Linked DNA regions of Oryzias latipes. The protein of the gene in region 2 purifies or fractionates together with the protein of the main gene of each other region. This does not show direct contact. Links are inferred from orthologs where the notes say so. Each region holds a gene or a part of one and is shown on either strand. Other genes may lie near its edges. The genes, in order: mphosph6, exosc5, exosc10, dis3l, zfc3h1, c1d and hbs1l.

Region 1 (4,811 bases), on a different chromosome or scaffold from region 2:
GGGGTCATCTAAGATAGCACAAGGGTTAAATCAGCTGACTATTAGATTTTTTTTTTTTTTTAATGGTTTATTTCAAGCAATTAATTCGAAATAACACACAAAAGCAATACAATCATTGAATCAGTTATACATTCATACAACAACTAATCAAACTTAGGATAATGAGGCATATTAATAAATATTGCTAGAAAGGGAGAGAAAGAAAGCGAACTTACATAATCCCACCCCGTTATACCATAACCATTTTATTACATGATTTATCAATATCCGGTTTCTAGCTTTTATCAGACAGAATTAAGAATCTTGAAATATCAGTAAAGCACATGACAAAGATGAATTACTTAATTGTAATGTAAAAATAACTATTTTAGAAATCAACAGAATATTCAACACTTTGCAAAATGTTTGGCATATCAGTGAAAAGCCGTAAACGGTTGAAGAGTAACGGTAGTTGAAAGAATCTGTTATTTAGATGTGACTGGCAACATCTCCAGTGTTAAAGGGTTCACTTGTAGAGGCTCCCACTGGGTAACGTCACTAAGCTACACTTCATGACGTTAGGATGTAGACTTCCACAGCTTCTCCCAGTGTGGCCTACATCCCATTGACAAACCTCTTAAATATATTAGTGATGTCATAGAATGGACGACAGCTAATTTTCTCAAACTCAACAAGGACCAAACAGAAACTGATCCTTGGGCCTGAAGCCACACTCACTTCAAAACTCTGGTATAAATGTAGGAAGATCTTAACTTTAAAATCCACATATCAAACACAACTAAGACTGCTTGTATTCCTTTAACAATGTTGCCTTTTATCATATCTAGACGGGACTTTTGTGATGCTCTTTTAATCTATGAATAGATTCCAGCTCGTCCAGAATTCAGAGCTCACATCCCTCCTGGCTTCCTGTCAGCCTCTGGATGATTTGAAGATTCTCCTTCTAGTTTATAAATGTCTTTTTGGATTGGGACCTTCCTATTTATCAGATCTAGGTCCTTCCAAAACCTCCACAACTCTCAGATCCTCAGGTTCTGCTCTCTTATCTAAACGAAAAACTGAGGACCAGGACCCACATTGAGGCCTCATTTCAGTACCGTGGTCCTCATCTGTGGAACCTGAAGATCTGAGAGTTTCTGCATCTGTGGAGAGTTTCACTGTAAATGTTCATGTAAATTCTCAAAAACGTCTTCATTTAATTCAATTATTTATTTGGGTCTAAAGTATTTCATGGCTTATATTGTTAATCGTTTGTACTTTTATTACTCTCTTTATAGAGCGCCTTCTCAACAATAACTAGTAGCCACAGTTTTCTACCATCTTATGTTCACCTCTTGATTGTTGCTGGTTTTATGACTTTTTATAATTTCAACCTGTTTGTTTTTTATGTCAAACACCTTGTGTTCTAAGCACGTTGAAGAAAGACGCTCCACAAATGAAGTGTTTGATGGATTGAGCCAAATGAGTTCTTTATCATCAGCTTAACTACCCGAGGATGGAGTAGAGTTTAGACCACTACAGAGCAGATTCCATTCTCTTCCTGCGGCTGTGTAGCCACGCCCCCAAAGCTTATATGATCGACATGAAGCGGGTCGACGTTTTAGACCCGGTTCCAGTCCTGGCACCAGTCAGGCTCTGGATCCAGAACTGGAACCGATCTGTTGAGCAAAGAGCAACCCTATCAAATAACATCTGAGGAGGACAGGAGGAAGAGGAAGTGTACCTCAGAGCCATCTCCTCATCTGTGATGTCTGTCTGCATGCAGCTCACATCCTTCTCCTCTTCATCTTCATCTTTTGGATTCAACAAGGTCATCAGTTTCTGTGAGGACAACTGACAGGTCAGAGCACACATGCACACGCACGTGCGCATGCACACGCACGTGCGCACGCACACGGTTGTAGGTTGAACCTCACCTCAACCTCTGGGTTAAAGCCTCTGAAGGAGATCCGGCCAAACTGCAAGTCCTCACAGGGAGTGAAGCTCTCCTCCTCCACCAGCACAGTCCTGATGAAGGAGCAGAGGTCACCATCATCCACACCTACAGGTGTTCACACCACTGCAGGCGAGGCGTGCACGAGCACAGACACGTACTCTTTGGTGCAGAGCTCGGGCAGGTCCAGATACCAATGCTCGTCGCTGATGATCCTCCTCTCGTCTTCCTCCAGCTGCTTCTTCGTCTCTGCATCCAGCCCTCTCTGCATGAACTGCAGCCACAGATGACACTTTCATGCATACGCCTACGTGCACGCTCTCATCTGCAGTACAGTATACCTCACGAGAGTCAGTCCACCCAGGTGATCACGTGTCTTAAAGGTTTACAATGCAACTATGTGAAACCGAGCACCAAACTAAATCTAACCCACCTGTGGTTCGTCATTCTTAACCTATTAACTAGTTATGACCACCTTTCAGTCGAAAGCAGACCAACCAAAACAGTCAAGCCCCAAACTATGCCCAGCTCTGACAAATTCAACCAGAAAGATCCTTGAATGGAGATAAGACAGGCCCCTGCCGAAGGATGAAGAACAAGAGGCAGAATTATGGACACGAACATCAGTTCTGGTCCATTTCTCTCACTCTGGAGCCAACAAAATGAATCGACGCTAGCGGCTCGCGCCGCAGCTAGCTAATGGTGCTAGCATGTACCTTCATGCGCAGCAGATTCTTGGAGAGTTTCACTCCGTCGGCAGCCATCTTTCTCCGGTTAACACAAACAGACTATCCGCGCTAAACTAACCTTAACTGATTCAACCTAACCGTAGGACGTCGTTGGTTTGGTTACTGCAGCAGAACAAACGCCCCACGCGCCGGAAAAGACATGTTGTCAAAAGTCGAGCATGCGCAATTCAGGCAGGCCTGATTAATCAAGCACCGAGGAATCGAGGCTTTTCCTTAAGTTATGTATTTATCCTACAGGTAATTTTTGATCACAGAACAGTGAAGTGCAAGCTAAAGAACAGGTGAATCAACGGAAATGCGTTTGATGTGTAGTTTACAACAAAATAAACACAACACATTATAGATAAACAGTAATAAACACGACAGTCAACAAAACCCAACGGGTCACGTGGCAAACATTCCAAAAACTTTATTTGTAAGTCGCTTTACAACAATCGCTGATTGTACCGAAGTAGCCTACATTTTGTAAAAACATAATTGAAAATTAATTTAAAAGATAAGCATGTCATATCATAAGACGAAAGATAAAACACAGGTCAATAATTTATTTTTATTTTTTTCTGTTTTGACTTAAAAAGAGAGACGTGGAACTCTAGAAAACCTTTAGTTAAAAGTACCATAGTACACTTGAAGTTTATTTTAGTAAGATACTTGTATATGCATTGAGCAAATCTACTATAGGCCTAGTAGTGTAGGAAGTATGCTAACTGTATCCTTCGTCAGACTTATTTGGAACATCTTAAGTTTACAATAAAGCATAGAGGTGGTACAAAAAATGTCAACTTCAACAGTGACATGTGATCAGATGAGGCAAGTGAAGCTCGGCCTCACTGGTCAATGTGATAAAATAGAAAAACGTACACTAAGTAAATATGATTTTCCTCTGATCCGTATTAAAGACACATTTTCAGTTGACTCGACACATTTCCCACAGTTTCTGAGGTTAAATTTGCAGAATTTGACTGTTGTGCGCTCACATAGGGAGCAGAAACTCCGGGTGAGGCTCTGGAGCGCTTCGCGTCATGTCTGACTGCAGGACTCAGTTGTAACAGAGAGTACGGTCAGAGCGATGACTGTAAGGGCGGAGAAAAAGCTTCCAGGGAGGCGAGCCTCGCCAGCGTTTGAAAATGAATAACAATAGATGGGTTATTTTCACCATAAACATTTGCTAAACTTCCCTGCCAAACGTGTTATGGATATGTCACAGAGGCGGCCATTTTGCAATAAGCAATACAGTAAAAGCCATTCTGCTGCCCCTAGTGGAATGATGATGAACTGCAGGGTAAAAGACATGGAAAGTTTGTATCATGCTAATGCAGTGGCGGTTCTACACTAACTTACTCCCTGGGCGAGTAACCCCACAGGCGCCCCCCCCCCCCCCGCACACATACAAAATTTGACAACATCCTGTTGTGTTACCTATCTTCTTTTTAGCAATTTTACATAAAAAATGCATGCATTTTCTAGACTCGTATTACAGGGGGGTCAAACTCAGTCAAACACGCTTAAGGTTTTTGGCCGAAGAAGATAAACATTTACTGAACACACTAAAGCTAAACTTTTAAACCTTTTAAACTGAACTTTTTTAACATAAATATGCATAAAAACAGGAACACAAGTTAACTTAAACCCTAAATAACTTGTAATATTTAGCTCTCCATAGAAATATATTCTGTCAAAATTATACAAATATGAACATGCTGCAGAATAAAACAAAGAAAGCCTGGAAATATTAATAAGAAATTACAATTCAAATATTTCCGGTTTTTTTTTTGCTCTTTCATCATTTTTTAGAGCATTTTTTTAAGCTGGACTCCTGCTTCATTTTTAGCAATAATTTCTTAATGTGTGACGTCCTGAGTGAGTCTTTGTGAAACATATCAGAGGGATTAGATCTAAAAAAAAAAGTATTGTGATTAATATGTTTATGTCTTATAAAACATAAAAGACTAAATCTTAGAACTCATCAGTGGGATTACTCCAAAAATATTTGGCATTTCCCCTAAATTTGTGCAACACCAACAGTAGAAATCCTCCAAAAAAACTCAATCCATAAAAAATGGTCTGCACCCAGCACCCCTGTTACGGTTTCTGTTTCTTTGCCCTTTGTGGTTTGTTTCCTTTTTGTT
Region 2 (4,681 bases):
ACGCCGCCTCACAGAGTCTCTGTAGAACTGGAAGATCCTCTCTGAGGCTCTCTGGCTGACCGCTACACACTGCTGCAGCTGCAACCAGCAGAAGAAAGACAAGAAACATCTGAGAGGATTGAAATGAGAGCTTAGCGGAAGATGATGGAAAAACGGCTGGACGGACCTCATGAACGGAAAAGGATCCTTTGGTGGATGACATCATTACTTTACGTTCTTTACTGTCGATGGCAAAAGTCATCAAAGCTCGACTCTCCTTTGAAAAGAAATTAAAATAGGACTTTAGTGCCAGACGGGCAGACAACCAATTTTAAAGGCAAACTGTTTTAGAACTGAAACACTGAGACAAAAGGATGAACTGAAGGTGACACACTAAAGAAAAACTGCATTTTTATGAAATAAAAAAAAAATAGTTTTGGTGGAAAATGAACCCATTTTTTTTTAGCAAAGTTAGAATTTTTATTAGCCTTTAAATTTGTTTATCCTCCCCTGAGCTGGAATCTGGATCTAAACTACACAGCTGGATTTTTGTTTCACCAGTAAAGTTAGGTCAGGGGTGTGATCTGATGAAAACCGACATCCATGTTTTAGGGATTCTATGAAATGTGACTTTTTTTCATGAAAATTAAACCATAAATTGAGAACTTTTTGTTAAACTTGCTTTCTGATTATATTTCTACATTCAAAGCAGCAAAAATGAAGATTTTCAGGTTAGTGTCAGCATCTTTGGTTGACCTTTTCCTGAGCTGAGGTGGGGTCAGTGATGATCTGCCCGTATGCGCTGATGGCGCAGGTCACGCCGCAGAAGAGGCAGCTCATCGGCAGACCTGCGTCCATGAGGGCCATGCAGGCTGCATTCAGGCAGCAGGACAGGAGCTGCAGAGCAGGTAAGGAAGACGACTCGGCAGGTGCTAGGCCACGCCCCCCGCGGGTTCAGAGGTCGGGTTTAGTAAAGGATACAGAGCCGTCGTCGTGCAGCACCTGGAGGACCAGCGTGAGCGAAGATCGAGGGTGGAGGGTGAGCAGCAGCGCCTCCTCGCAGGTTTCACGCACACACTGCTCCTGCGAGCGCTCCCTCACACCTGGAAAACAGAGGCATGATGGGATATGAGTTCAAAGCTGATAAGGAATCCACTGGCTCCCCCTTATGGCGTAATCCTATAAATCAGTTGCACAAAACATTCCTAAAGAAAGACTTTAATACCTTGATCGGACCTTTGTCTTAATGCTTATTTATAAATTGCAGAACTGTTGAGATACGAGTGAGCCTTCAGATGAAACTAAAACCCACATGAGACCTGAGGAAGTTCATCTTTTTACTGTGATTCAGTAGAAATAAAACAGCATCTGTGATTTCCATTCAACCCAAAGACATGAATGAAACCAGGCTTAAGAGGATATTTGCATATAAACATTTGAATCCATTGAAAGTGATTATAATTGTCTCTACATTTAACAGACTTCCTTCTTTAAAGCTGGATTTATTCATTTTAGAGCAACAAAAACAAGGATTAGTAGTTGTTTTTGCTTTTTTTCTACAACAGATTAAAAACAAAAAGGATTGAATTGGTTTCAGAAAAACCAGACACACGTGACAGCATCTGACTTTTCCAGGACATGCAGCAGAACTTACTCGGCAGACCAACTTTGGGCTGAACCAGCACCTCCAGAGTTGCTCGGTCGTAGATCTCCTTACTGACCTTTACTTCAGCAGGTCCATAAACTCCAGCCATCACACTCGTGTCCCCTCCAGAGACACAAAAACAACACAAAGATCAAAGTTCTATTAAAATAGAGGACAAACCTGAAACAATGATGTGATTTCTACATTCTTATTGTGTCTGTAAACTTTGATCTTGGCTATAAAACATAAAAACAGTGTAAATCTTGCAGTAAATGCATGACCAAATCTGCTGCTTAGAGTGGTGGTTTTGGTTCAGTTTCAGGTTTACTGTAGAATTATTACATAGTATATAATTCATTCATCTTCTAAACCCGTTTTGTCTCTTTCAGGGTCACAGGCCTGCTGGAGCCTATCCCATACACTATATTAAACAATATCTTGAAAAAAAAGAATAAAAAAGAAGATGGGGTCATATTAAAAAAATAATTTAAAGCATTACCCCAAAAAAAAACTTTTATAGGGAAATTATTAGAAAATCTTTGAAAAAATGTTGCTCCAAGACCCCAGACTATACAGTCCGATGCCGGCGATGTAAACAGTTCACAATGACCACTAGGATACAAATATTCAAAGATGATTTGGGGAATGAAAAAAAGAGGATGAGTAAACCAAGAAATAAATATTTAAATTTGAGAGAGCTGATCTGAACACAGAAAGTAAAACAGATGAATCCAACATTTCAACATCTTTATTTATAGAAAAATGACTAGAAATTATTTTTCAAATGTTTGGCTTCTTAATGGTTTAACAGCAGTTGACTTTTGATTACAAAAAACTAAATGTGAAAAGATAAGTTCGTAAAAATATTTAGTTATTATTTAGCTGCTCATTTTTGTTCTTGAATATTAACAATTTTACAACATTTACCAAGAGCTAAAACTAATGCAAAACCAAAATAAAGCAAATACAAAAAGTACTTTAGGACATTCTTAGCTTAAAACTCATTTAAAGATCGTTTGCCAGCAGTCGAGAGTCAAATTATTTCTCTGAAATAATAAGTTTGTCCATAATTCTTTGGGCGGAATCGGGAGTTGTACTCATATTCTTAAAGAAAAAAGTCAACATTTTCCTTCAGCTGTTACCTTGAACGAAAGACGCAGATCCATCCGGCCGAGAAAGTAAACTCTGCTCGCAGCCAAACTCTCGGAGAGAAACATTTGAAGGAGCAGAAACCTCCATCACGTTGCCAACACGGAAGGGGATGCGTCGCTGGACGATGACGTCATCTATTTACCGACGCGAAGGGGCTCTGCATCAAAACCAATGTTGTGTTTTAAATTTTGTGTTCAATAAAAAACAGTCAGAAAGTCAACAACAAAGTAAGTAGTTTAAAAAATATATTATTAACATTATTATTATTATTATTATGATTATTGCTATTGTTGTTGTTGGACACTTTTATTACGTGTCTTTATTTTCCATATAAAATGTATTTTTTACGTATGCCTGTCATTTAATTGGTGTCAGTATTTGACATAAAGACAGCAGGTAATGCAGGCAGTAAAACAGCTGCACTTTTTGAGATTAGACATAAACAATGGATCATTTGTTAATGAATGAATTAAGGCTTTTTGGAGAATTTTTACTGTTGGTGTTGCACAAAATTAGGAAAATGCCAAAATAAACTTTGATTAATTCCAGTGAGGAGTTATATGATTTAGTTTTTAATGTTTTATAAGACCTATAAATGGTTTTCATAATAGCAGTTTAAAAAAAAATCAAATCCCTTTGATACGTTTCACAAAGACACACACAGCACGTCACACAGCAAGCAGAAATGAACTTACTTGCTGACAAAAAATTTGACAAAACAGCAAATAAAACGGAATAATTTGAATTAAATATTTCCAGACTTTGTTTATTTTGTTCTGCAGCATGTTCATATTTGTATAATTTTGACTGAATATATTTTTATGGAGAGCACCGTTATTAACGGTTTAACTTGATTTATTCTGGATTAACAATACTGTCTGTTTTTATTCATTTTTATGTTAAAAAACCTCTGTTATAAAGGTTTAAAAGTATTTTTTGTTTTGTTTTTTAAAGTGTAGCTTTAGTTTGGTAAATAAATGTTGTTGGGCCCCCAACTTAAAGCATGTTTTCTGTTTAGGCCCCCTGTGTGAGTGAGTTTGACACCCCCGTAATACGAGCCCACAAAATTCACGCATCTTTTGTGTAAAATGGCCAAATAAAAATAGGGAACACAAAAGAACGTCAAATTGCACTGGGGAGTTACTCTCCCTGGGAGTAAGTTAGTGCAGAACCACCACTGCAGTCAATAATCAATGAATAATGTCAGAAATGATGATTTATATGTTATTAATTCTAAATAACGTTGTGACAACAGTTGCTATGGGGAACTGCCATATGGCACTTTGTGTAGCATGATAAATAATACATGCAGCACAGCTAATTCTTTCGCAGAGGGAAGAATTCACCGATAAATGAAACTATGCCTTCATGTCTGGATCAAAGTTTTATCAAAACTGCAGCAGTGGAGAAAGTGGTTGCCCCAATCTCCAGTCACCTTTGTCTCCTCGTGCTGCTGTGCGACAGTGAACATGAGCCAGAGCAGTTCACCCGGCTGGAGGCAGCGGCTCACGCTGTGGCCAGAGCTACTGAGAACATGGCAGCAGTGGCCTCCAGGTATGTGCATTCCTGCTAGTCAATTACATCTGCCTTTGTCAATCCACAAGAGACCGAAGTGACTCTCTGTTTAGGCAAATTCAAGAGACGGATGATGATGTGTTGCACATGGAGATGTCCGCCCTTCTTGAGTCGGTCACCGTGTCGGGGCAGCATGTGCTGCTGGCGGCTCAGAAACTCCACATCCAGCCAGGTTTGACGGAGCACAGAGAGGAGCTTATCACTGCCACGCAGAACGTCTTCCTGGGAGTGGTCAAAGTAAAGTACAGTTCTGCAGAAATGTGTGGAATTTTTACATTGGAAGACTGATAAAAATTTAAAATCTGATTTTAAATTGTAAGAACAAACCAT
Region 3 (4,710 bases), on a different chromosome or scaffold from region 2:
TTGAAGTCATCTTTATCGAGGGAAACATCCATTGAGAATTTGTTGATACACGTTAATAAAACAAGCATTAAACGATTAAAAATCTTTATTGTTTTGAGAAAGAAAGTCAGTAAGTTCTCTGCATCAAATGACTCCAAATCAAAGTAATGCTGCTGGTTGGATTTCCTGGGTAAACTTCATTTAAAAAAATAAAAGAAATAAAAAACGATTTTATTTATGCGATATATATTCATGTGTGACAAAGTTGTGCTTTGTCCTTTCTCTTTAATAAAAAAATAAATAATAACATGGCATAAATAGTGATCTAAAGATACCAATTTATAATAGTGAGTAATCTGGCTTCAACAAATGTTATTTAATCCTTTACTTCAGCTGTTATTTTTAAAGATACTCAGAGCAAAAACACAGAGGTAACTGTACCTTCACAATAGTCGGGTCAGTGAATGCTTCATTCAGGATGTACATCTCACTGCGGAGCTCCAGCGTGTCAATTATGAAGTCCTCATCTCTGGTGGAGATCTGCATCAGACAGGTGAGGCCCAGAAAACTCCTGTAGGAATGATGCTGAGATGGAAAACAAAGTGTTCATTAAAAAGACTGTCATTGTTAAAATGCTGACATTTCAAACAGTTACGGTCTAAGGCAGGGGCCTGCAACCTTTAACACAAACAGATCCATTTAGTCCAGGTTCTTCCTGACAAAACCCAGGAAGAGATGCACTTCATAGAGTTGAAAAATAAACTTTAGTTTTGTTTTTGTGGCCATTAAGCCATTCATTTATTAAACATAGCTTTTAAATATTTACAATTATAAATTATAACAGTGTTTTCTGTTATAGAGGCTAAAGGTCACTTCGACATGGAAATCAAAACCGGAATCTTCCGATCAGAGGTCAACCAATCAGACCTTTTATCCTTATTATTCCTCCACTATGTTAAAAATCTAAGCCTAAATGACAAAGTTTAATGAACCAAAACTACAAACCCATTCTTTATTTAAAGTGTTAGAATTTGACTTCAGAGCAAAAAGAGAAGAAAGGATTGATAGGTTGCAGACCCCCAGTCTAAGGGAGGACGTCCTAAACTCTGATCCTCTACCTCAAGATCCACTGCAAATTCAGACAGTTTACACAGCTTCTCATTCAGCTCCACGAGATCCTCCAGAGAGTCGATAAAGGATAACTTTGTCTCAGCTATAGGTTTGTACATCTATAAAGAAAAGGCAGAAAACCTGTGAGACAAGAGGCCAACTCAGGTTATTATAGAAATGTGATAATTTTTACTTGAGGCTCTGGTTTGGACAGAAGGCTGTCTGGAACAGTGAGATGGTCCAGTTCATACTGGTATGGGTGTGAAAACCTGTGTGGACAGAAACTTCAGATAGAGGGCAAGAAATCTTACAGTACAAAACAACACTGCTCAGATAACAAAGCTTACATGTCTTCAACATGTTCCTGAGTTCTCTGCTGGTGAATTAAGTCGGCCAGGGCGGCAGGAACATCAAGATCCTCTGGTCTTTCATTGCGTATTTGCTTGTTGGTAAAATCTACATGGAAAAGAAGCAGTGAATTAATGTACATGTGCTGGAAGATTGATTATTACAAGTCACAGGGGAAGATGTGAATCTAAGCTGACAAACGTGTTTCTTACAGGATGGAAGAGGCTTTACTGCATTGGGCTTGATGAAGATCTTGGGCACAAAAGGTGTGTTGCTGTTATCTATCTTTTCCTTGAATTTCAGTTGAGGCCGAGCTATATTCTTGGCATGGAGAAGTCGGAACGTCTCGGATTGACTGCTGGAGCCGGAACCCTGGTTCACAGAGGCATCGTTTGAGAAAATCCAACCCTTTGTGGTGAATGGTTGTCAACCCTCTTCAAGCATCTTTAGCACTGAAGATACTGAATTCCAAATCTGACACTTTTTTTCGTCTGAATGTGGTCAAAGCAGACATTAGAGCCCAGCAGGACAAGAGAGGAGACTTATTTTACCTTGCGGTTCCAGCTGGAAACAACAATTTTGGGAGGCTGGAACCCAGCAGGCATAACTGGCTTCTGATTCCGGTTCACCCCGTCAGCTTCATCAAGAAGAATCCCCTGCACAGCAGAACGATGTGAAGGCCTCGTTTGTAAAAACCCATTTCATTTAGCAAACTGCTTCATTCTGGGGTTGCTGGTCGTACCGCTCTTTCAAGGATGACATCGTTGGAGTCTACGACCAAGTCAAACCTCTCCTCCACAGCTGTCAGCTTGTTCCGGTCTTTGACGTGAGATCTGCAGCCATGGTGCTGCATAATCTGACTCATGCTGACAAGACAAAACATATCATCAGTTGGTAGGTCTGAAGCGTGAATATGGAGGTCTCCGGTTTACCATAAACTTTTTTTGGGGAGAAAAAAAAAACTTACCACTGCAAAATCTGATCTCCTTGACTTTCACAAAACTCCTGGAAGCCTGGGAAGCTTCGATAGAAATCAAATTCATCTCCAGGCTGAGGTAAACCTGCAGATGCTTTGGTGGCTGATAACACCACACCAAATCCATGCTGCAGAGGAGAGGGAAGCTGTGCTGTTAGCAGTTAAGGGACCGTTTGTAACGAAGAAACACGAAGAACGTTTAGGATCACACCAAAATAAATTGAGGAAAATAACCGAATTTAAATACCTAATAAGCCTCTTATTTTATTTATTTATTTGTGAAGTTACCATTAAAGTGCATAATTCATCTAGAATCACTCAACTTTCAGTTAATTTCTTGCACTCGCATATATAGAAACCCACAACTTCAATAAACGTGAAATGCAGTCTTGTTATAAGCAATATAAGTATTACACACATCTACTCAAAAATATATATGTCATTGATTCATCAACAATTTAATCAACCACGTTGGAAGAGCCTTAGCCTGAGCCTCAGCTAAAAACTTTAGCATTTGCTGTTGTTCCCTTACTTTAACGAAGGCGTCAACGTCTTTAAAACCGGGACATAGCTCATTTTTATCCTCCTCGTTTGTGTCCGAGTTGCTGTCCAAAACTTCTCGGTTCGAGTCATCTTTACTTTTAGACAGGGACATGGTTTATTTTGTCGTGTGGACATGCGTGACCACGAAAGCAGTCCCTTTCCGCAATTCTTTCTTCTGCAGTCTTACCAGGGCACCGAAAGCGCCACAGCGACACCTGACGACAAGGAGTGGAAAAACAGCCTTTTTGTACCATTTCTTTTTCTCACTGATTTAAAGACTCACTCCACGGAAAATTGTGTTTTTGGTGTATTTAGCATGTTCTTGAAGCATTTTTGTCACGATTGAAGACAAACACTTTTGGAAACAGCCTGTAGCAGGGACATCATTGTCACACTGGAGACCATGAGCTCCACGCTCTGCTCCATTCCGATGCACCCAATTGCAAACAAATAGCCATGTTTTCCTTGTCCGAGCTGGCTCAAAACTGTAAGGCTGTATAGCTTCGATATTGCTCGCCATTTTTATCGCTTACTCTGCACCAACACTTCCTTCCGTGAAATCAGGGTTCAACTCCGGGCTTCTCCCTGTTCCCTTCTCTACTTCTGTGCCGGTCCCAAGCCCGGTTGCTGACCCCTGATGGGAAAAGCCAAAAGAGGAAGAAGACTCTGCACCAACACTCCAACTTACATATCCGGATGAACTTCTGCTGCTCTGTTGAAACTACGTGAAAACGACAGAGGTTTTCTGGTTTTGCCCAAAATTTAAGAAAAGCGTTTCTAATTGTGAACGCTTTCAAATAGTTTAAAATGTTCTCTGAGTGGGACTTTAAAATAAAAAGTATACCAATACTCGATTCTGATTGGCTGTTTCATTTAAATGGGACAATCCACAGGGATAATGCACACCTAAAAAGAAGTTCTGGTCACATAGCATAAATGTTCTATATCAATGCTTCTTTAAAACAAACTTTTGTTTCATCATCTGGACAAAAACAAGCGATAAGATGTGAACTTTCTCTCTGAACTGATGCTATACCCATTGTGATGATCAGCATGAATATCGCTTTACTTAACCGCTGTAGTCATGGTAGAAGCGGGAAAATTGTATTCGAAGTTTGCATTATTTGAAATGAACACACGCCGTGGAAGCCTGAACCTTCCAATGCGAAGACTTCAGGCATGCTTTAATTTCTGACAATGCCCACTTCCTCAGCAATTATCCCTTACTTATAGTTACGGAATAGAATTAGGGTCATTTAAAAAAAGGTGATGAGACGTTTCAGGTTTTTGTTATTCAGGTGTGTCTTCCAACTTTTATTTCATCAAATTCTGTTTTCAATCCCAGAATTCTGATTTTTTCCTCAGACTTCTCAATTTAATCCCAGAATTCTGATTTTTTTCCTCAATATTTTAGAAAATGTTATTTGATTGAAGATCAAATTCTGTTATAAACTGAAATATCGTTGGCTCATCGCCAAATGTTTTCCCAATAATCATCCCTTATAGAGATAGTTCTGTCTCCCATGTCACGACGTTTACATAGTGGGGATACAGATACAGATGAGTGTTTCATTGACCTTGTCCTGAGACTTCTATGATTTCTATCTCCGATTTTTTTTATTCCCGAGATTAAAACTTAAACTTTGTTCTTTTTTGCAGTGATTTTATTTTTTTGTGGTTTGCTTTTGTTTGCCTTTTTTCCAATCAAGATTATATAAAAACTGGCATTTAAAAAAAAATATTTGTCGGGTAAC
Region 4 (4,548 bases), on a different chromosome or scaffold from region 2:
ATCCTGAAGGGTGTAGCTAGCGTCCTGAAGGGTGTATATAGTGTCCTGAAGGGTGTAGCTGGCGTCCTAAAGGGTGTATCTAGCGTCCTGAAGGGTGTAGCTAGCGTCCTGAAGGGTGTAGCTGGCGTCCTAAAGGGTGTATCTAGCGTCCTGAAGGGTGTAGCTAGCGTCCTGAAGGGTGTATCTAGCGTCCTGAAGGGTGTAGCTAGCATCCTGAAGGGTGTAGCTAGCATCCTGGAGGGTGTAGCTAGCGTCCTGAAGGGTGTAGCTAGCATCCTGAAGGGTGTAGCTAGCGTCCTGAAGGGTGTATATAGCGTCCTGAAGGGTGTATCTAGCGTCCTGAAGGGTGTAGCTAGCATCCTGAAGGGTGTAGCTAGCATCCTGGAGGGTGTATCTAGCGTCCTGAAGGGTGTAGCTAGCATCCTGAAGGGTGTATCTAGCGTCCTGAAGGGTGTAGCTAGCATTATGGAGGGTGTAGCTGGCGTCCTAAAGGATGTATCTAGCATCCTGAAGGGTGTATCTAGCGTCCTGAAGGGTGTAGCTAGCATCCTGAAGGGTGTATCTAGCGTCCTGAAGGGTGTATCTAGCGTTCTGAAGGGTGTAGCTAGTGTCCTAAAGGATGTATCTAGCGTTCTGAAGGGCGTAGCTAGCGTCCCGTAGCCTGCTTGTACCTGCGGCCCTTGCTGTGCAGCGCCTGGCAGGCGGTCTGGGTGAAGATGATGCCCTGCAGCTCCTTGAGCTCCAGGATCTCCAGGTAGTCGACCACCACGTCTGCGTCCGGCATCACATAGTGGGTCAAGTCTCCAGGCAGAACTTTGACACCTGTTTCGTTGAGAAGAACGTTTCTGTTTTATTTTCATAGAAAGATGATCTTCTGTCAAAAACTTTTCATGCAAAAAATTAAAAGCGTACTATTTGTTGAAATTACTCCTATTTGAAATAAGAACGTGTCCGTTCACACGTAACTTTCGAAATATGTCCAGTGCTGAACTTTACGTGCGAATAACATCAACCTTTAAATAAATTAACATTTTATACATTTGTTTCAAATGTATTAAAGTACCACTGCGGTGAAGTTAGTTGTTGGATATTCGACAGACATTCAGCGGGTTGTCCAGTGTGGACTCTTAGGGACCGTCAACAAATTAACGACTGCATGAGATGGAGAGGAATTTAACTTTGCAAAAATAAAAATAAATAAATTACTATAAACCTTTTCTCATTTTGTGTCTTAATCTATTTCTTTTGCAACTTTTTAATGGGAAAAATTTTGCAATCATAGATGCTCAATATTTTATAAGAAAACTGTTTGAAGGAAAGATTTTTTTTATTGCTTCCTAACTGTGTGATGTTATGATTGCAAATATATAAAAAAAATATGGCTCCAACATACAACATACACACATTTTATAAAGAAATTCTATTAAATATTTTTACAAAAATTCCTGCATTTCGCAAATTCTGTTGAGTTTTTTCAATAGCTTCCAAACCACATCACCCAAAAACATGAAACCTCTGCCAAATTGTTCTTCTGACATCAAACGCCAATTTGTTTAGGAATTAAAGATGACACAAATCTTACATTACTTTTTGTTTTAAAATTACAGCTGTTCACATCTAAAATCTAATCGTTTCTTCAATAGCTCCCAAACCGCCTGACCCAAAGATATAAAACCAATGTCGAATTGTTGTACTGACATTCCAACATCAGACACACACCTTTTTGTTTTGTAATCAAAGATGTTATATGTTTTATATGAATTATCTTTGGGTCAGTTGGTTTGGGAGCTATTGAAAAAGATGACCAGCTTTCATATGCAAACCTCTGGAATTTTTATATAAAAATTCATAAAAAATATATAACATCTTTGATTACAAAAGAAAGAGGTGTGTCTGATGTTGGAATGTCAGTACAACAATTTGGAATAGGTTTTATATCTTTGGGTCAGGCGGTTTGGGAGCTATTGAAAGAAATGACCAGCTTACATATGCAAACCTCTGGAATTTATCAAATATTGAGCATCTTTGATTGAAAAAACATTTCCCATTAAAACGTTGCAAAAGAAATAGATTATTTAGACACAACATGAGAAGATGTCTTATAGTAATTTATTTATCTTTGCAAAGCATTTAGTTTTGGGTTTGATCTAAAATCTTCTCCATCTCATGGCCTTGTTCATTTGTTGACGGTCCCTTAGAGACCCCACTGGAGCTCCGCGCTGAACGTCTGTCGAATATCCAACCTGACACTAACTTCACCGCAGTTATTTGAAAGTATCGTCAGTGTCATGGCAGCTTCTCCGAGCCCGCCAACTTTTACTCAGCGGGATCGATCACTGACAGAGACGGACTAGCAGGCTCGGGTTCGGTGTGTCTGTTCGTGTTCGGGTTTGGCGCTCTTGTTTGGGTTCGGTGCTCGTGTTGGGTTCGGTGTTCGTGTTGGGTTCGGTGCTCGTGTTGGGTTCGGTGTTCGTGTTTGGGTTCGGTGCTCGTGTTGAGTTCGGTGTGTGTTCGTGTTTGGCGCTCGTGTTGGGTTCGGTGCTCGTGTTGAGTTCGGTGTGTGTTCGTGTTTGGGTTCGGCGCTCTTGTTTGGGTTCGGTGCTCGTGTTGGGTTCGGGTTCGGTGTTCGTGTTTGGGTTCGGTGTGTGTTCGTGTTTGGGTTCGGTGCTCGTGTTGAGTTCGGTGCGTCTGTTCGTGTTTGGGTTCGGCGCTCTTGTTTGGGTTCGGTGCTCGTGTTGGGTTCGGGTTCGGTGTTCGTGTTTGGGTTCGGTGTGTGTTCGTGTTTGGGTTCGGTGCTCGTGTTGAGTTCGGTGTGTGTTCGTGTTTGGGTTTGGCGCTCGTGTTCGGTTCGGAGGACTACCGTTAGCACAGTCCGCCTGGCATAGGGAGCTGAAACAGGGGACCCGCTCTCTGAGGTAATGCTCCCGAACCACTCGAACCTTCCTCCCGCGGAACCTCCTCAGATGTAGAATCCTCTCCGTCTTTATCATCCTGAACTGCAGAGAGCCGCTCCTGTTAGCCAGAGCTTCATTGACGGACCGGAAGTACACGTCACATGACGTAGTCCCGCCTGTCGTCGTGATGACGTCAGGTCACAACTGCGTTCAAGTCTCAAGAAAAACAGACTCGCAAAACGGCAAGAATGACTTTATAAACCGCCACACCACATTGTGATCAAAGCTTCCGACTTTGGTCCAAATGTTCAAGTTCAGCTTCCGTCTCTGTTGTTTGATGGTCGACCGGTTCATTTAAAACTTCCAAACTCATTTATAGGATCTTTGTTTGTTTCCAACATCTTACAAAAATCATTCTATGTCACAGCTTTACACAAAAGAAGAAATAATCAAGTTAAGATCTCAGTTTATTAAATATCCCATTTTTCCAAAATACAAAGAAATCCATTTTAAAATACTGAATGCAGTCTATCCATGCAAGGAATTATTACATACATGTTTTGGTTTACCAGAGAATAACTGTTCTCTCTGTGACATAAATATAGAATCACTTGATCATCTGTTCTTTGTATTCATACGTTTACAGTTTTTGGGAGGATTTTTTTTCTTGGTTCCTCAAATTTTCCTTTTCCTATTTCTATTCAATTACAAAAGCAGATATTATTTGGATTGTTTCTGGTGATAATCTATTTGATTTGACATTCAATACCTTATTAATATCTGGGACATTTTTCATTCATAAGAGCAGATTTTCAAAAATCAAACCATTATTCAATACATTTCATAAAGAGATCAGTTTATATTTTCAATCTCTGAAATTAATAAAAAACAAAAATGGAATAAAATTGTCTATTTTCATTGAAGATCACATGTTTTATGACAATCACTAGTATTGTAAACTACAATTTTTATTTTGTTTCTTTAGTTTTATTTTATTTTGTATATTATTCTTTTTTTATTTATTTCTGTTGTAGTTATGTGTATATGTTTGTTTGAAGTTCAATAAAAAAATAAAATAAAGACTTAATGACAAGTATAATTAAATTATAATTATAAATTATTGGCCATAATAGAAAAACATCACATTCACAAGTGTAAAAACAGTAACCAGAAACCCAGGTTTGCACACTATTTATATATATATATATATATATATATTTATATATATATATATATATATATATAAATATATATATATATACTATATACAGTATATATTATATTAACCATATGAAAGCATTGAAAACACTTAATATTTATCAAAGTCATGGTTTGTTTGAGTTTATATTGTTTTTTATGGTATGCTGACTGTACTAATAATATACATATGAATAATAATAATAAAGACAAGTACATCAAACCGAGGGGAAATAAATAGTTACATCAGATAAAATAATAACATAATCCTCATCCCCATTTTGTATGTGAAGTTCAAAGATCCTGTGTACATTTCAGTAATATCAAATGGTTAAAAAAAATCATGAGCAATTCAACACTGGAGCCATTTAGTGTTAAAATGAGCACTTTAATACATTTAAATTCAGATTCTTAGACATTTCACACATTGGTCAAAAAATGCGATACGTTCTTTAAA
Region 5 (3,615 bases), on a different chromosome or scaffold from region 2:
CCAGCTATTTAGTGTCCACAAACAGGATTTTGCTGTTGCATCACCTGATTTCACATCAGTGGATGTGAGGTATTCCTGTCCTCTGCTGACAGATGGACAACAGAGGACGGGACTTTAAGGGGACATAAAGAACTAGAAGGTCACCTGATCCATTGGAGGACTTTGATATGCAAATCACAAAAGTGTAAAAAAATAAAAAGCGATAATAAATACTTGTTTAAGTTATTAAATATTTTTTTGTAGTGATCTACGGTTTGAATGAACTATAGTATGTATTTATGTATATACTGCATAAAAGCATTCCTATTTTATTTATATTTTTTTTAATATACTCTAAAAAATTTTTCCCTGTTTGAATTGTGATCCGATTGTTCGCAGATTTGAAACTTGTGTGTTGGAGGTGATGAGTTGTTTTCCTTTTACCAGCAAGAATTGTCATGTAGTCATTGAGGCCCTGCGGGGGGCAAAAGAGGTCTTGGGGGTGCACATGAGGTCCCAAGCTTGGCAAAGCTGACTTTTATCCACCACCATCATACTGTATGGTGTTGTGACAGCAGGCAAATTCTCATCACCCGCTTTCTGTAGTCCGCGTCGCAGAGGTCAAAGGTCAGTCTGTGGTCACAATAGAGTCCTCTGGTCACATTCCTCTGGATCTCCCATTATTCCTTCAAGTCTTCAGACCAGATGTTGAAGGATCTTACTTATCCAGGCAGTGGTGTCTTGACATTGAGTCATGACATCTGGACTTCAACTCTTCTTTCTTTCTTTGAAGCTTCTTGGATGAGCGATGAAACATTTTAAAAAAGACGACCAAGTCCAGATGCCACAACTCAACTTCAAGACCTTTGCAGTGAGAAACGTCCATTCGGCTGACCCTACTTCCTATCTGATGTGACCTAGAAAAGATTAAAAACGATCAGAGGCGTGTCCAAGTTTGTAGAAAATAATTTAATGACATCTGAAAACAACAAGTACAAAACAGACGCACAGATGTGTCCTTTGCTCTGTGACAACCCCAGCAGGTAGCAAGGGTACCGTAGTCTGGCTGAGTCCAGCGGCGCTTGGCGGCGTCCGTAGCATCATTAGTCTCTTACACTCATTCATCCAATCAGAAAACACTGCACAGGTGGGCGGCCACGCCCCCTTTTCAGCAGATCAGGGACCTGATTGCCTCTTTGATCAGTTTAAACAAAAGTCCAGGTTTTCCAACTCAAAAAAAACAAAAGGTGGGGTTCATCCCTTCAATCAGACATGTCAGGTTAACCCTCCCCTGCCCCACCCCCCTCAGGTGAGTGAGATAAAAGGGGAGAAATGAATCCAACTGAAAGGGGAGAGCAACTAAAAGAAGGTGATGAAGAGCAAAGGCGTCACTCAGCAGTCGATACTTACAGACTCTGCAGCTCCGCCCACCGCTGGAGGGGGTGGGAAAGAGGAGGCGGGGGTGTCGGCCTTACCTCATCCCTCACTGACAGCTGATCAGTTCAGTTCCATCACACATCATCAGCCAGCAATGGGCCGACTCCCCCCAGACTCACGCTGACCCCCGTTAGCCGGCAGCGGTCCACCAGCCGCTGCAGGCGCTGCGAAGCTCCACCCTCTGCTGCCTCGTACAGCAACCGCTGGGAGGAGACAGAGACGGAGGTGGTCAGAAGGGAATACAGAGGAAAAACGAGGTGGGGTAGGTGAAGAAGGGGAGGTTTGATGAAAAGGGAGCACGTAGTGAAAAATATGGGGGTGCTCACACTCACACCTGTGGTTACTCAGTAATTACACAGAAGGGGGGGGGCTGCTCCTACATTGTAAGGGGGGCCCAACATTTGTGAAAAAAGAAAGTTTAGGTGAAAATGTAGGACAATACTTATGAAGCATCCTCATTAATGTGAGCAAATAAAATCGTTTATTTACAAAAACCAAATGCTGCGTTTCAGTCACAACTCCACCTATGAATACTCTACAGCAGGGGTGTCAAACATACGGCCTGGTGGCCTTATCCGGCCCGCCAGGTGATTTACTACGGCCCACACATGAAGAGTAAAAATCATAAGGATGTTTAAAAAAGAAAGCGAGTTTCTAGTCCATTCCTGTGGCGAGTTATGCTTTTTTAAAGAAATAACCGAAATGTGCAATTCCGCCACTAGGGGGAGCAAAGGAAAGGAAAAACAGTTGAAACAGCATCTCTGCACGTGCCAAAAGCGAAACATAACAGCTCTGCGTCTGGGTAGGATGCACTTTGGTTCCATATGAGCCTTACCGCTGTTATCTTGCTATAAGGATGATCAGTAGCAACACCCTAATGACCAAAATGTTTTCAAACGTGAAGTGGAGTGAAGAGCCTTCCAGGAAAAATGGACAGTTTTTTTTCTTTCATGAAGATGAATGCAAAACCCAAATGCTTTGTATGTCATCAACATCGCAGTGTTCAAAGAATATAACATTCAGCACCACTAAGAGACTTACCATAAAGAAATGTTTCTGGATTGCTTCAGTGACAGATGTAAAATATTCAGTCTGTATTAATTTGAATAGACCAACTTTTCTTTAATTGAAATTACTTTTATTTGGGATCCATGGGCCCTAAGTGATTAGGCTACTATGTTGGTTGAGGCATTTTTTCCAACTGAGTAAAAAACTAAAACAAAGCTGTTAGTTTGCTTTTATGTTACTGGTCCGGCCCACTTGAGATCAGACGGGTTAAATGTGGCCCCCGAACAAAAATGAGTTTAACACCCCTGCTCTACAGTCACAACTCCACCTATGAATACTCTACAGTCACAACTCCACCTATGAATACTCTACAGTCACAACTCCACCTATGAATACTCTACAGTCACAACTCCATTTATGAATACTATACAGTCACAACTCCACCTATGAATACTGTAATCACAACTCCACCTATGAATACTCTATAGTCACAACTCCACCTATGAATACTCTATAGTCACAACTCCACCTATGAATACTCTATAGTCACAACTCCACCTATAAATACACTACAGTCACAACTCCATCTATGAATACTATACAGTCACAACTCCACCTATGAATACTGTAATCAAAACTCCACCTATGAATACCATATAGTCGCAACTCCACCTATGAATACCATATAGTCGCAACTCCACCTATGAATACTCTATAGTCACACCTCCAACTATAAATACACTACAGTCACAACTCCACCTATGAATACTCTATAGTCACAACTCCACCTATAAATACACTACAGTCAGAACTCCATCTATGAATACTATACAGTCACAACTCCACCTATGAAAACTGTAATCACAACTCCACCTATGAATACTCTACAGTCACAACTCCACCTATGAATACTCTATAGTCACAACTCCACCTATGAATACTCTATAGTCACAACTCCACCTATGAATACTGTAATCAAAACTCCACCTATGAATACCATATAGTCGCAACTCCACCTATGAATACTCTATAGTCACAACTCCACCTATAAATACACTACAGTCACAACTCCACCTATGAATACTCTATAGTCACAACTCCACCTATAAATACACTACAGTCACAACTCCATCTATGAATACTATACAGTCACAACTCCACCTATGAATACTGAAATCACAACTCCACCTA
Region 6 (4,047 bases), about 15 Mb from region 2:
TTGGAACGGTTAATTATTCTCATTCAAAACCCAGTAATGACCTAATAAAACATTTTACTTTTCAAGCATAATTTTGCTTCACATTGGCTCTCTTCCTTTGTAGTGTTTGCATTTTCCACACTACAAGGCGGCCCATCTATGAATGGTCCATCTTTGAAATCATGTCAAATGTAAGGCGCACTGAACAATCAGGCATGTTAGGCGAGACAGAAGAATCAGAGATGAATCCACACTTCCGTCAGACTTTAACTGCGTTCACAGTAACTACTTTGTAGCACGCTACACGTCAGCCACGTTAGAAGCGTTGGCATATTTGACCTCGGAAGCAAGTGTTTTAAAAATTATTTTTGAAATTTACAAAAATGTAAAAAAAACGATTCAAAAAAGGAAAAGAATTTGGGATATTTACTCATCAAGATTCGTGTTCTGTGAATGCCACTTTTTTAAAAAGCCTTTTGAACACATGTTTCTGATTATTGGCATTTTTCATATAATGGAAGTTTTTTCAAAGTAACATCCAATTCTCAATTGACAATTCAATATGTTATTCAAGCTTGGAATATGAAAAATACACTTTACTATTTAGACTTCAATATTAAAAATATTAAATAAAAAAATTTGCATTTTAAATTCTCATTGTGTTATATCATGTAAAAAAAACATTTATCTTCTTGGACAACTGAAAAGTTGTTTCTGTTAATCAAACCCGATTTATTTGTATTTGTAGTTTTCATTTGTCAACTCGGGTCATTTTTTCATACATAGTTATTAAACTAAAGTATGTTCAACCACAAAAGGCTTTAGTTCCTTAAAAACATAAAAGCAGCTGTTTTTTCCATGTGGACACATTTTGTGATAAAATATATAAACAAATGAAAGGAAAAAAAATAATCAGCTTGTCTTATAAAAAAAAAAAAAAGACAAACAAAGGTGAGTGAAAGTGTAACTCAACACTAACGTAAAACAGTGAGATTCATGGAATCCTCCTGTTTGTGTCCAAAATGATTTCAGAGGATTCCTTCCACCAACAGCAGGTGAGCTGCTGTCACTCAGGAACTCTTCATCTCCTCTGTGTGGATGGCGTGCTGCCATGGGAGCACACACTTCCTCCTTCACTTCCTCTGTTTCTGTCGTTTTGGAGGCGGCTCTGCGGCTGTGGAATCTGCTTGTTTTTTAGACTCGTTCTTTTTCCCGGAGTCTTTGTCGTCCGGCTCGTAAAGGGCGCTCCTGATGAAGCGGGAGGCGGCGCCCTTATCCAGGCGCGCCGCCTTCTTCTTGTCTGTAATCTCCTTGACTCGGTTCATGTACGCCCGGATTCGCTCCTGCAGAACAAAAACGCAAAATCCAGATCAACTAGAAATGAATGAGACTGAAATGAATGAGACTTCAGAGAAAAAGCAGGAAAAAAAAAATCAGGAAGCACAAACCAGTTCCTGTTTGATGCCGTGTTCTCTGGGGTTTATTCCTCGAGTCACCAAATACACTGTAGACAGAAACGAGGAGACAACACTGCAGCAAAACACGACTTCAAAGCCCCACTCGATCATCTTTTGATCTATTGTAAAAGCGTTCCCAGTGGTCTTCTTACTATGATCATAGTAAGAAGCGTAAATCCAAAAACCTGCGTGGTTTTCCAAGACATAGTTTGTGCAGAGAAGCAGTAGAAATTCACCTGAGTTGTGGGTGGGACTTAACCCCGCCCCCTTCCTCTCTCTGTTGCTACCAGACCAGAGCAGGGAGTTTGTGGCCGCCCAGCAGAATTTTTTTTCATCACAAAATGATCTTTTTTTAAAACTGCATCCTGACTAACAACGATTTTAATAAAAAGAAATCCTCAAAAATGACACTTTAAACAGAATTTTACTTGATCCAAAAAACAAAACACAAAATCCCAACAAACTTTGATTGGAGTAGACTCCAGAACTTACCCCAGAACAACGAGTTTAGGGTGTACGCAGACATCAGGTCCAGTTTGGCCTGGTCCAAAGGATCCAGCTGTGTCACACAAACAGCACTTAATACAATTTAACAAACAGTGACAAACACCAGCTTTATGTCACATTCAGACTTGGCTTGCCAAAAAGACTATAGGGAGAGTTGGACTGAGTGGCTGAGCTGGACTCTCTGGCCTTCCCACACCTTTCCCTGACAGAAACAGAAGCTGTTAGGACATTTATTGCGTCTGGATCCACGTTACCTTCACGAGCAGCTCGTTTCTGGACATCGACATCAGTTTGTCCAACATGGATTTCACCGCAGTCACGGAGGAGTCGAAGCTCCGCAGCTGCTCGTCGATCTCATACGGGTATTCCTCCTCCGTAGACGCCATCGTCCTGGAACAGAAACGTCCGACGGGATCATCATAAAAGTCACATCAGCAGAATGAAACCGGCAAATGATTATGTGAGTCTGACATTTTGTTATATTTGGAGCATCAGTTCAGAGGCGGAAACATTACTCCACCAACTTTGCGATTATTAAGTAAAATTTGGAAACCAGTAAAAGATTAGAAACCACAGTTTCAGTGTAAACTGCGCTATTTAGAAGTTAATAACAGATGTATTTACCTTTAGCATCCGCGTGCTCCAAACGCCAAACCGGAAGTTCTGACTGGTGGCGGTGAGGTTCTTCCTGTTTATGCATTACTGCCCCCTGTCGTCTGGAGGACTGAAAAAGACTAAGCCAGTGAGTCAACGTTGATTGCCTCCACCCAGCATTTGAATATAACATGTAACTTTTGAATAAATCCGTTGTAAAAAAAACTAAAAGAAAATTCCTTTTTTCTTAAAAACTACATTTATAACTGTCCATTGTATCTATTTCAAATCAATCTGAAAACCTGACACTCTCTTTAGTTTGAGACAAAGCAGTTTGGTTTTGCCTTTTTATCCTAAACATTATTTCGTCTGAAACTTTTAATCTAAGGTTTTAATGCTTTTCTTATCACTATATTTACAAGCTGTAATTCTTTGTTATAATGACTATCATGTATGTAATAAAATCAGTTTGTAGACATTTGTGTTTTAAATAGGATTAAGGGAATTTCAGGAACATCCTCTGCTTTATTAGCATGATTAAAAGGACAAGACCTGACTGCTTTCTGCATGTTTGATCACTGTAAATTGTTCATATTCTGTCATTTCATAAACTTATTTTTATATCTACAAAAACTAGATTACAAATATGGATCATAATAGGCAAAAATATCATCACAGTCTCATTTAAGATGAAGTAATGTCAGAAAAACATTTTCTGTTTGGTAGATTCTGTATAGTAACAATGCTTCTGGGGAATACATCGTTTAGTTCAGCCCTTTAGGGGCGTCCGTGGTGCTGTGGTAAGGCGGTCGACCTCCAATTGGGAGATTGCAGTCTAGATTCCCACCGTGCGTTGAAGTGTCCTTGAGCCAGACACTGAAGCCCACCTTGGCTGTGGTGAAAAGGTTGGTGTCAGTGTTTGGCAGCGGAGTTCACCAGTGTAAAAAAAAGACAACCAAATTCACCAGTGTGTGAATGTGTGTGTGAATGGCGGTGTGACTGTAAAGCCCTTTTGGCCTTTGAGGAAGGTAGAAAAGCGCTATACAAGTATAGGCCATTTAAAGCCTGCTTTCCTTTCAAATGGAGCCAAATTTGTAAGAAACATGCATTTGTTAGATCAGCTGCAGATGTTTTTATGGGTTGTGGCAATTAAAGGTTTTGGTCAATCTTCTCAGCCTCTTCAGCCGTTAACCCTGGACGGATTGAAGTTGAAAGAAAAAAGACACATTGAGACTTCGTATATTTGTTTGTTGACCTAACAGAGGAGAGGAAAGCAGAGCAGGTGCAGGGCTGAGTCTGTCCAGCAGGTGGCAGCATTTCACAGGTCAGAGGAGTTCAGAACAGACCACATGTTTGCTTCACATCGTTTCAGTGTTTCTGGTTAGTCAGCTCTCATGTCTCTACACCAGCAGGGAAGAGCAGGAAAGTTGATCTTCAGGGCTTGTAGATCATTCAGTAGAATGTCTGTATTTTATACCCTTACGGGACACCGTAGAAAAAAGTTTAGTTC
Region 7 (4,088 bases), on a different chromosome or scaffold from region 2:
TCAAGACGTTTTTGTTTAAAACTGGGCTTGATCTATGTTTGTAAGTTTGATGCACTTAAAAAAAAAAGAATTTGTGATAGCGTGATGTATATGAATTGCATGACTTTACATGAGAAAAAATGCCTCATCATAAAGTAATGATCTGTCTGACTTGGATTTCTGTGTCACTGGGTTCTAAGGGACTTTTTTCTTTTTTCAGAAGAGTCATTTAGAAAATACTTGGTTAGCGAAAGTTCATTAATATTCTGGTGAATCAGACTTTTTAGTCTCATTTTCTCTTAGGGTACTTTTTAAAATGAGGTATTAAATGATGCTTTTCACCTATAACCCAAAAGTCATGGAAAATAATATGAGATAAAGATACTTTATTAATCCCATCTTGGGAAATTCGGCTGTTGCAGCAACCGTGTACAGGCTCAACGACAAACAAACAAACAAACAAGCAATGAGTGACAATCAGGGAAGCAACAGTCAGATAACAGATTTTAGAAAACAAACATGAAATGAGTTTATCTACTCAACTCATCTTTATTTATATAGCACTTTCAGTCAACAGCAGCCGACACAAAGTGCTGAACACGAGAAAAGAAGAAAACAAACACTAAAACATCTTAAAACACAAGATTAAAAATAGAGAGATAAAACAATAAAAAACAGTACAGCAACACAGCAATAACAGAAGTCTCATGTTGTATTAAAAGCCAGAGCATAAAAATGGGTTTTCAAGCGTGTTTTAAAAATGGACAGTGATGGAGCTTCTCTATGGCAAAAGGTATAAAATTCAATGGCGTGAGGTAGGAATGATATCCTGTACCGGTTGGTGTGACATTGAAGCTGCCTTAGCCTCTTGGAAAAGGCGCTCCGCTGACCGTCAAGTACAGGATGGAAAAGATGCTCAGGATTATCCATGATGGATAATAGTCCTCCTTTCCATCACAGCTTCTCCCCCCCTGAACAGAGCGCTGGCCACAACAGACTGGTAGAAAATTTCAAGCTCCTTGATGCACATATTGAAGGACCTTGGTTTCCTCTGGAAAAAGAGTCTTCCAGCTCAGCCTGTTGTCAATGGTTACTCACCGGTACTTGTACTCCTCTACCTCTGCCACATCCCTGCCCAAGATGCCGAGAAGATGGTTGTTTCTTTGTGAAGTCAATCACCATCTCATTGGTCTTTTCCACATTGAGCAGCAGGTGATTTCTCCAGCCCACCTCACAAATTCATCCACAAGTTCCCTGTACTCCTCCTCCTGCCCACCATTTATGCAGCTGACAACCGCAGAGTCATCAGGGAACTTCTGGAGATGACATGACTCTGAATTGTACTGAAAGTCACTGGTGCACAATGTGAACTGGAAGGAGAGAGCACAGTGCCTTGTGGTACTCCCACACTTCTCATCACCACATCAGACATGACACGGCCCAACCGGACAAACTATGGCCTGTCCCACAAGTAATCAGTGATGCAGGAGACCAAGAACCCATCGACACCCATCAGTTGCAGCTTCTCACCCAGTAACCAGGGCTGAATGGTGTTGAACGCACTGGAGAAATCAAAGAATGTGACTCTCACAGTGTCTCCCCCGCCATCCAGGTGTGAGTGAGCACGCTGCAGCAGATAAATAACAGCATCCTCCACCCCCAGGTGTGGCCAGTTGGCAAACTGAAGTGGGTCTATAGATGGTTTCACCAGAGGTCTCAGGTGGGCCAACAAAATCCTCACCGGCACCTTTGCCGCATGAGGCGTGAGGGCAACAGGACAATAATCACTTGGGCCAGAGGGAGCAGTCTTCTTGGGGACAGGAACCAGACATGCGGTTCTCCAGGCAGCCGGCACTCTGATCAGACTGAGGCTCAGATTAAAGAGGCGCTGGAAAACTCCGGATAGCTGAGCGGCGCAGGACTTTAGTATCCTGGTGCTGATGCTGTCCGGGCCAGGAGTCTTTCGTTGGTCAATTCTTTCCAGCTGTCTCCTGATCTGGCAGGTCGTCCTAGTCAATGAGGGGGCTGGATAGGAGCAAGGTGGGGCAGGGCCTTTAGGTCACTTGTAATCCATGGCTTGTTATTGGGGTAACAGTAGACAGTCCTCGAGGGCATGATGGTGTCTTCACAGAATTGAATGTCTTCAGTGATAGTCAGTCATGCTGTTGATGTCCTCACAATGAGGCAGACAGAAAGCATCCCAGTCTGTGCACTCAAGGCAGTCCTGCAGGGTCTCCTCAGCCTCTCGAGTCCACTTCTTCACCTTCCTTTTGGACAGAGGCCTTCTCCTGACCATAGGAACATACTTAGGAGAGAGCAGAACATGGTTATGGTCTGACCTCCCAAGAGGGGAAAGGGCTGTGGTTCTGTACGCTCCCTGTGGATTAGCATACAGCAAATCAAGGTTTTTTTTTCATGGGTGGGGCAGTCCACTTTCTGTGTAAATTCAGAAAGAGTCCTGTCCAAATCAACGTGGTTAAAGTCCCCAGTGATTAATACAAATGCATTTGGTTGATGTTCCTGTAGCCGGGAAATGATGTTGCTGATGACGTCAGTAACGGCGTCTGCATCAGCTGATGGGGGAAGATAAACTCCCGGGGCAGAAAATAAGGCCACAGTCCGACCGCCAAGAGCTCAACGTTCGGGCTACAGAGGCGCGAACCAACAAGATAAAATGTTATTTTTCTAACTTTAACCAACTAATTTAGGTCAAGATGGCATGATTGTGGAATCTGTCCTTTTTAACACCAGTAAAAAAAAAAAAATTATTAAAAAAAACGTTTTTGAGCTCAGTCTTTTGCCTTCATTTGCATCAACAGTTTGATCAGATGTGAGGACACTGTAAAAAAATGCACAGTCACTTCCAGCCCAGCACTTGCTGAGGTAACACCTTCTCAGAAGATTCATTTGAGAAACACTGCATCATGCTGATCTATTTCTGTGGAGATGGGAGGCAACGGCCACTTCTGAAATTAACCCTTTCTGAGCCAGGATGCCAGATGCAAACAGACACGTACACTGACGCACAAAATGTGCACTAGGCTTGGTTGTGTAGCCCAGCCTAAATGAATCAGGAGCGGATCGATATGACTGGGATTGGTGGCCATTTAGGACTGCAATGACGAGGCGATGACCTCAACAAGTCTCTGCTGCAGAATATGGACTTCCTCAACCAAGATATGTGCAACAGATTGCATTCTGCATTTTCACTCGACTCGTGTATGCGTGTCACATCATTATTTGATTGCAGCTACTGAAATTCTTATCATTTTTATCAGCCTTTACAACCAGAGATGTTGACTTGCGAGAACGATGAGTAGGTGTTTGCTGTTACTCATTGCTGTTTGTAAAAGGGGTAAAAACAGTTTTCTGTTTTACAGTGGCATTATGAGAGAAAGAAACACATTACTTTGTTCATTAGAGATTCAAAGCCGCTCCATTGATCATACTTCATTAAAAAAAACTAGAAAGAGTGAATTTTTAAAAATTGGATCATGTAATTGGGTTTTCAGAACAAGAGGGAACATCAGGCTTTTCTAAACATCATAGATCAGACCAGTTTGTGATCATGATACTTTAAAATTATACTTTAGTTTGGAACTGTTGTCATTTTTCTCCTAGCCAAAGGCAGAGATGTGTCTCAGTACCATTTGGACTCTGAGGTGGTTCCTAAAGTGGCCCGGATGACTGTCTCTGGCAAGAAGCAGACCATGGGCTTTGAGGTCCCCAGGTATCTAAACTTACGTCCCCTCTTTAATTATGTACTTATGGTTACCGATAGAAAAACCTGAACTTTGCAAAATTGTAGCTCATATACTAATCTTCTTGATATGAAACATCTGACTGTATATGAGAGCTGGACTGAGTAACTGTAATGTCACGCGTAGAAAACAGCTTAGTTGCGGCTACAAGGAAATTAAGTCAATTCAGTCACCATTTTTCGCAATACGGACGCCGCCATTTTGGAGTCCGATGTTGTAAGTAAGCAGTGATTTGTCGGAATCGGTCTGACTCATCATTTCTTTGGTAACCACTCTTGCCAATCAGAAGTAAGCTTGTTGGAAATCCAAACCTCTACTACTTGAAAGCAGGCTCAGGAGAAACTGTCA

Evidence for each region.
Region 1: the proteins of exosc5 (region 2) and mphosph6 purify together in Homo sapiens (affinity purification with mass spectrometry; 6 studies listed by BioGRID and IntAct, with this or other methods). This does not show direct contact. The link is inferred for Oryzias latipes from reciprocal best matches to the Homo sapiens genes EXOSC5 and MPHOSPH6.
Region 3: the proteins of exosc5 (region 2) and exosc10 purify together in Homo sapiens (co-immunoprecipitation; 8 studies listed by BioGRID and IntAct, with this or other methods). This does not show direct contact. The link is inferred for Oryzias latipes from reciprocal best matches to the Homo sapiens genes EXOSC5 and EXOSC10.
Region 4: the proteins of exosc5 (region 2) and dis3l purify together in Homo sapiens (affinity purification with mass spectrometry; 5 studies listed by BioGRID and IntAct, with this or other methods). This does not show direct contact. The link is inferred for Oryzias latipes from reciprocal best matches to the Homo sapiens genes EXOSC5 and DIS3L.
Region 5: the proteins of exosc5 (region 2) and zfc3h1 purify together in Homo sapiens (affinity purification with mass spectrometry; 3 studies listed by BioGRID and IntAct, with this or other methods). This does not show direct contact. The link is inferred for Oryzias latipes from reciprocal best matches to the Homo sapiens genes EXOSC5 and ZFC3H1.
Region 6: the proteins of exosc5 (region 2) and c1d purify together in Homo sapiens (affinity purification with mass spectrometry; 4 studies listed by BioGRID and IntAct, counting the BioPlex papers as one, with this or other methods). This does not show direct contact. The link is inferred for Oryzias latipes from reciprocal best matches to the Homo sapiens genes EXOSC5 and C1D.
Region 7: the proteins of exosc5 (region 2) and hbs1l purify together in Homo sapiens (affinity purification with mass spectrometry; 3 studies listed by BioGRID and IntAct, with this or other methods). This does not show direct contact. The link is inferred for Oryzias latipes from reciprocal best matches to the Homo sapiens genes EXOSC5 and HBS1L.

What each region holds. Positions count from the first base shown.
Region 1 is NC_019864.2:5,684,524-5,689,334, reverse strand, and holds the start of mphosph6 (M-phase phosphoprotein 6), read right to left. Parts: upstream 2,883-4,811; 5' UTR 2,698-2,882; coding exon 2,650-2,697; intron 2,609-2,649; exon of another isoform or gene 2,367-2,608; intron 2,259-2,366; exon of another isoform or gene 2,208-2,258; coding exon 2,095-2,207; intron 2,008-2,094; coding exon 1,917-2,007; intron 1,822-1,916; coding exon 1,724-1,821; intron 1-1,723. UniProt on the Homo sapiens protein: RNA-binding protein that associates with the RNA exosome complex. Involved in the 3'-processing of the 7S pre-RNA to the mature 5.8S rRNA and play a role in recruiting the RNA exosome complex to pre-rRNA; this function may include C1D.
Region 2 is NC_019873.2:26,312,689-26,317,369, forward strand, and holds the start of exosc5 (exosome complex component RRP46), read right to left. Parts: upstream 2,910-4,681; 5' UTR 2,864-2,909; coding exon 2,767-2,863; intron 1,748-2,766; coding exon 1,634-1,747; intron 1,083-1,633; coding exon 961-1,082; intron 877-960; coding exon 736-876; intron 257-735; coding exon 167-256; intron 79-166; coding exon 1-78. Other genes in the region: catenin alpha-1-like, read left to right, coding at 4,137-4,330, 4,405-4,588. UniProt on the Homo sapiens protein: Non-catalytic component of the RNA exosome complex which has 3'->5' exoribonuclease activity and participates in a multitude of cellular RNA processing and degradation events.
Region 3 is NC_019865.2:9,465,408-9,470,117, reverse strand, and holds the start of exosc10 (exosome component 10), read right to left. Parts: upstream 3,163-4,710; 5' UTR 3,069-3,162; coding exon 2,946-3,068; intron 2,542-2,945; coding exon 2,405-2,541; intron 2,304-2,404; coding exon 2,180-2,303; intron 2,094-2,179; coding exon 1,989-2,093; intron 1,810-1,988; coding exon 1,650-1,809; intron 1,546-1,649; coding exon 1,437-1,545; intron 1,359-1,436; coding exon 1,283-1,358; intron 1,209-1,282; coding exon 1,098-1,208; intron 565-1,097; coding exon 421-564; intron 1-420. UniProt on the Homo sapiens protein: Catalytic component of the RNA exosome complex which has 3'->5' exoribonuclease activity and participates in a multitude of cellular RNA processing and degradation events.
Region 4 is NC_019861.2:569,947-574,494, reverse strand, and holds the start of dis3l (DIS3-like exonuclease 1), read right to left. Parts: upstream 3,279-4,548; 5' UTR 2,991-3,278; coding exon 2,861-2,990; intron 823-2,860; coding exon 672-822; intron 1-671. UniProt on the Homo sapiens protein: Catalytic component of the RNA exosome complex which has 3'->5' exoribonuclease activity and participates in a multitude of cellular RNA processing and degradation events.
Region 5 is NC_019864.2:5,620,843-5,624,457, reverse strand, and holds the end of zfc3h1 (zinc finger C3H1 domain-containing protein), read right to left. Parts: intron 1,620-3,615; coding exon 1,491-1,619; 3' UTR 928-1,490; downstream 1-927. UniProt on the Homo sapiens protein: Subunit of the trimeric poly(A) tail exosome targeting (PAXT) complex, a complex that directs a subset of long and polyadenylated poly(A) RNAs for exosomal degradation. The RNA exosome is fundamental for the degradation of RNA in eukaryotic nuclei.
Region 6 is NC_019873.2:11,213,094-11,217,140, reverse strand, and holds c1d (nuclear nucleic acid-binding protein C1D), read right to left. Parts: upstream 2,673-4,047; 5' UTR 2,568-2,672; intron 2,334-2,567; 5' UTR 2,330-2,333; coding exon 2,198-2,329; intron 1,996-2,197; coding exon 1,929-1,995; intron 1,484-1,928; coding exon 1,428-1,483; intron 1,323-1,427; coding exon 1,113-1,322; 3' UTR 908-1,112; downstream 1-907. UniProt on the Homo sapiens protein: Plays a role in the recruitment of the RNA exosome complex to pre-rRNA to mediate the 3'-5' end processing of the 5.8S rRNA; this function may include MPHOSPH6.
Region 7 is NC_019882.2:14,283,439-14,287,526, reverse strand, and holds part of hbs1l (HBS1-like protein), read left to right. Parts: intron 1-3,600; coding exon 3,601-3,709; intron 3,710-4,088. UniProt on the Homo sapiens protein: GTPase component of the Pelota-HBS1L complex, a complex that recognizes stalled ribosomes and triggers the No-Go Decay (NGD) pathway.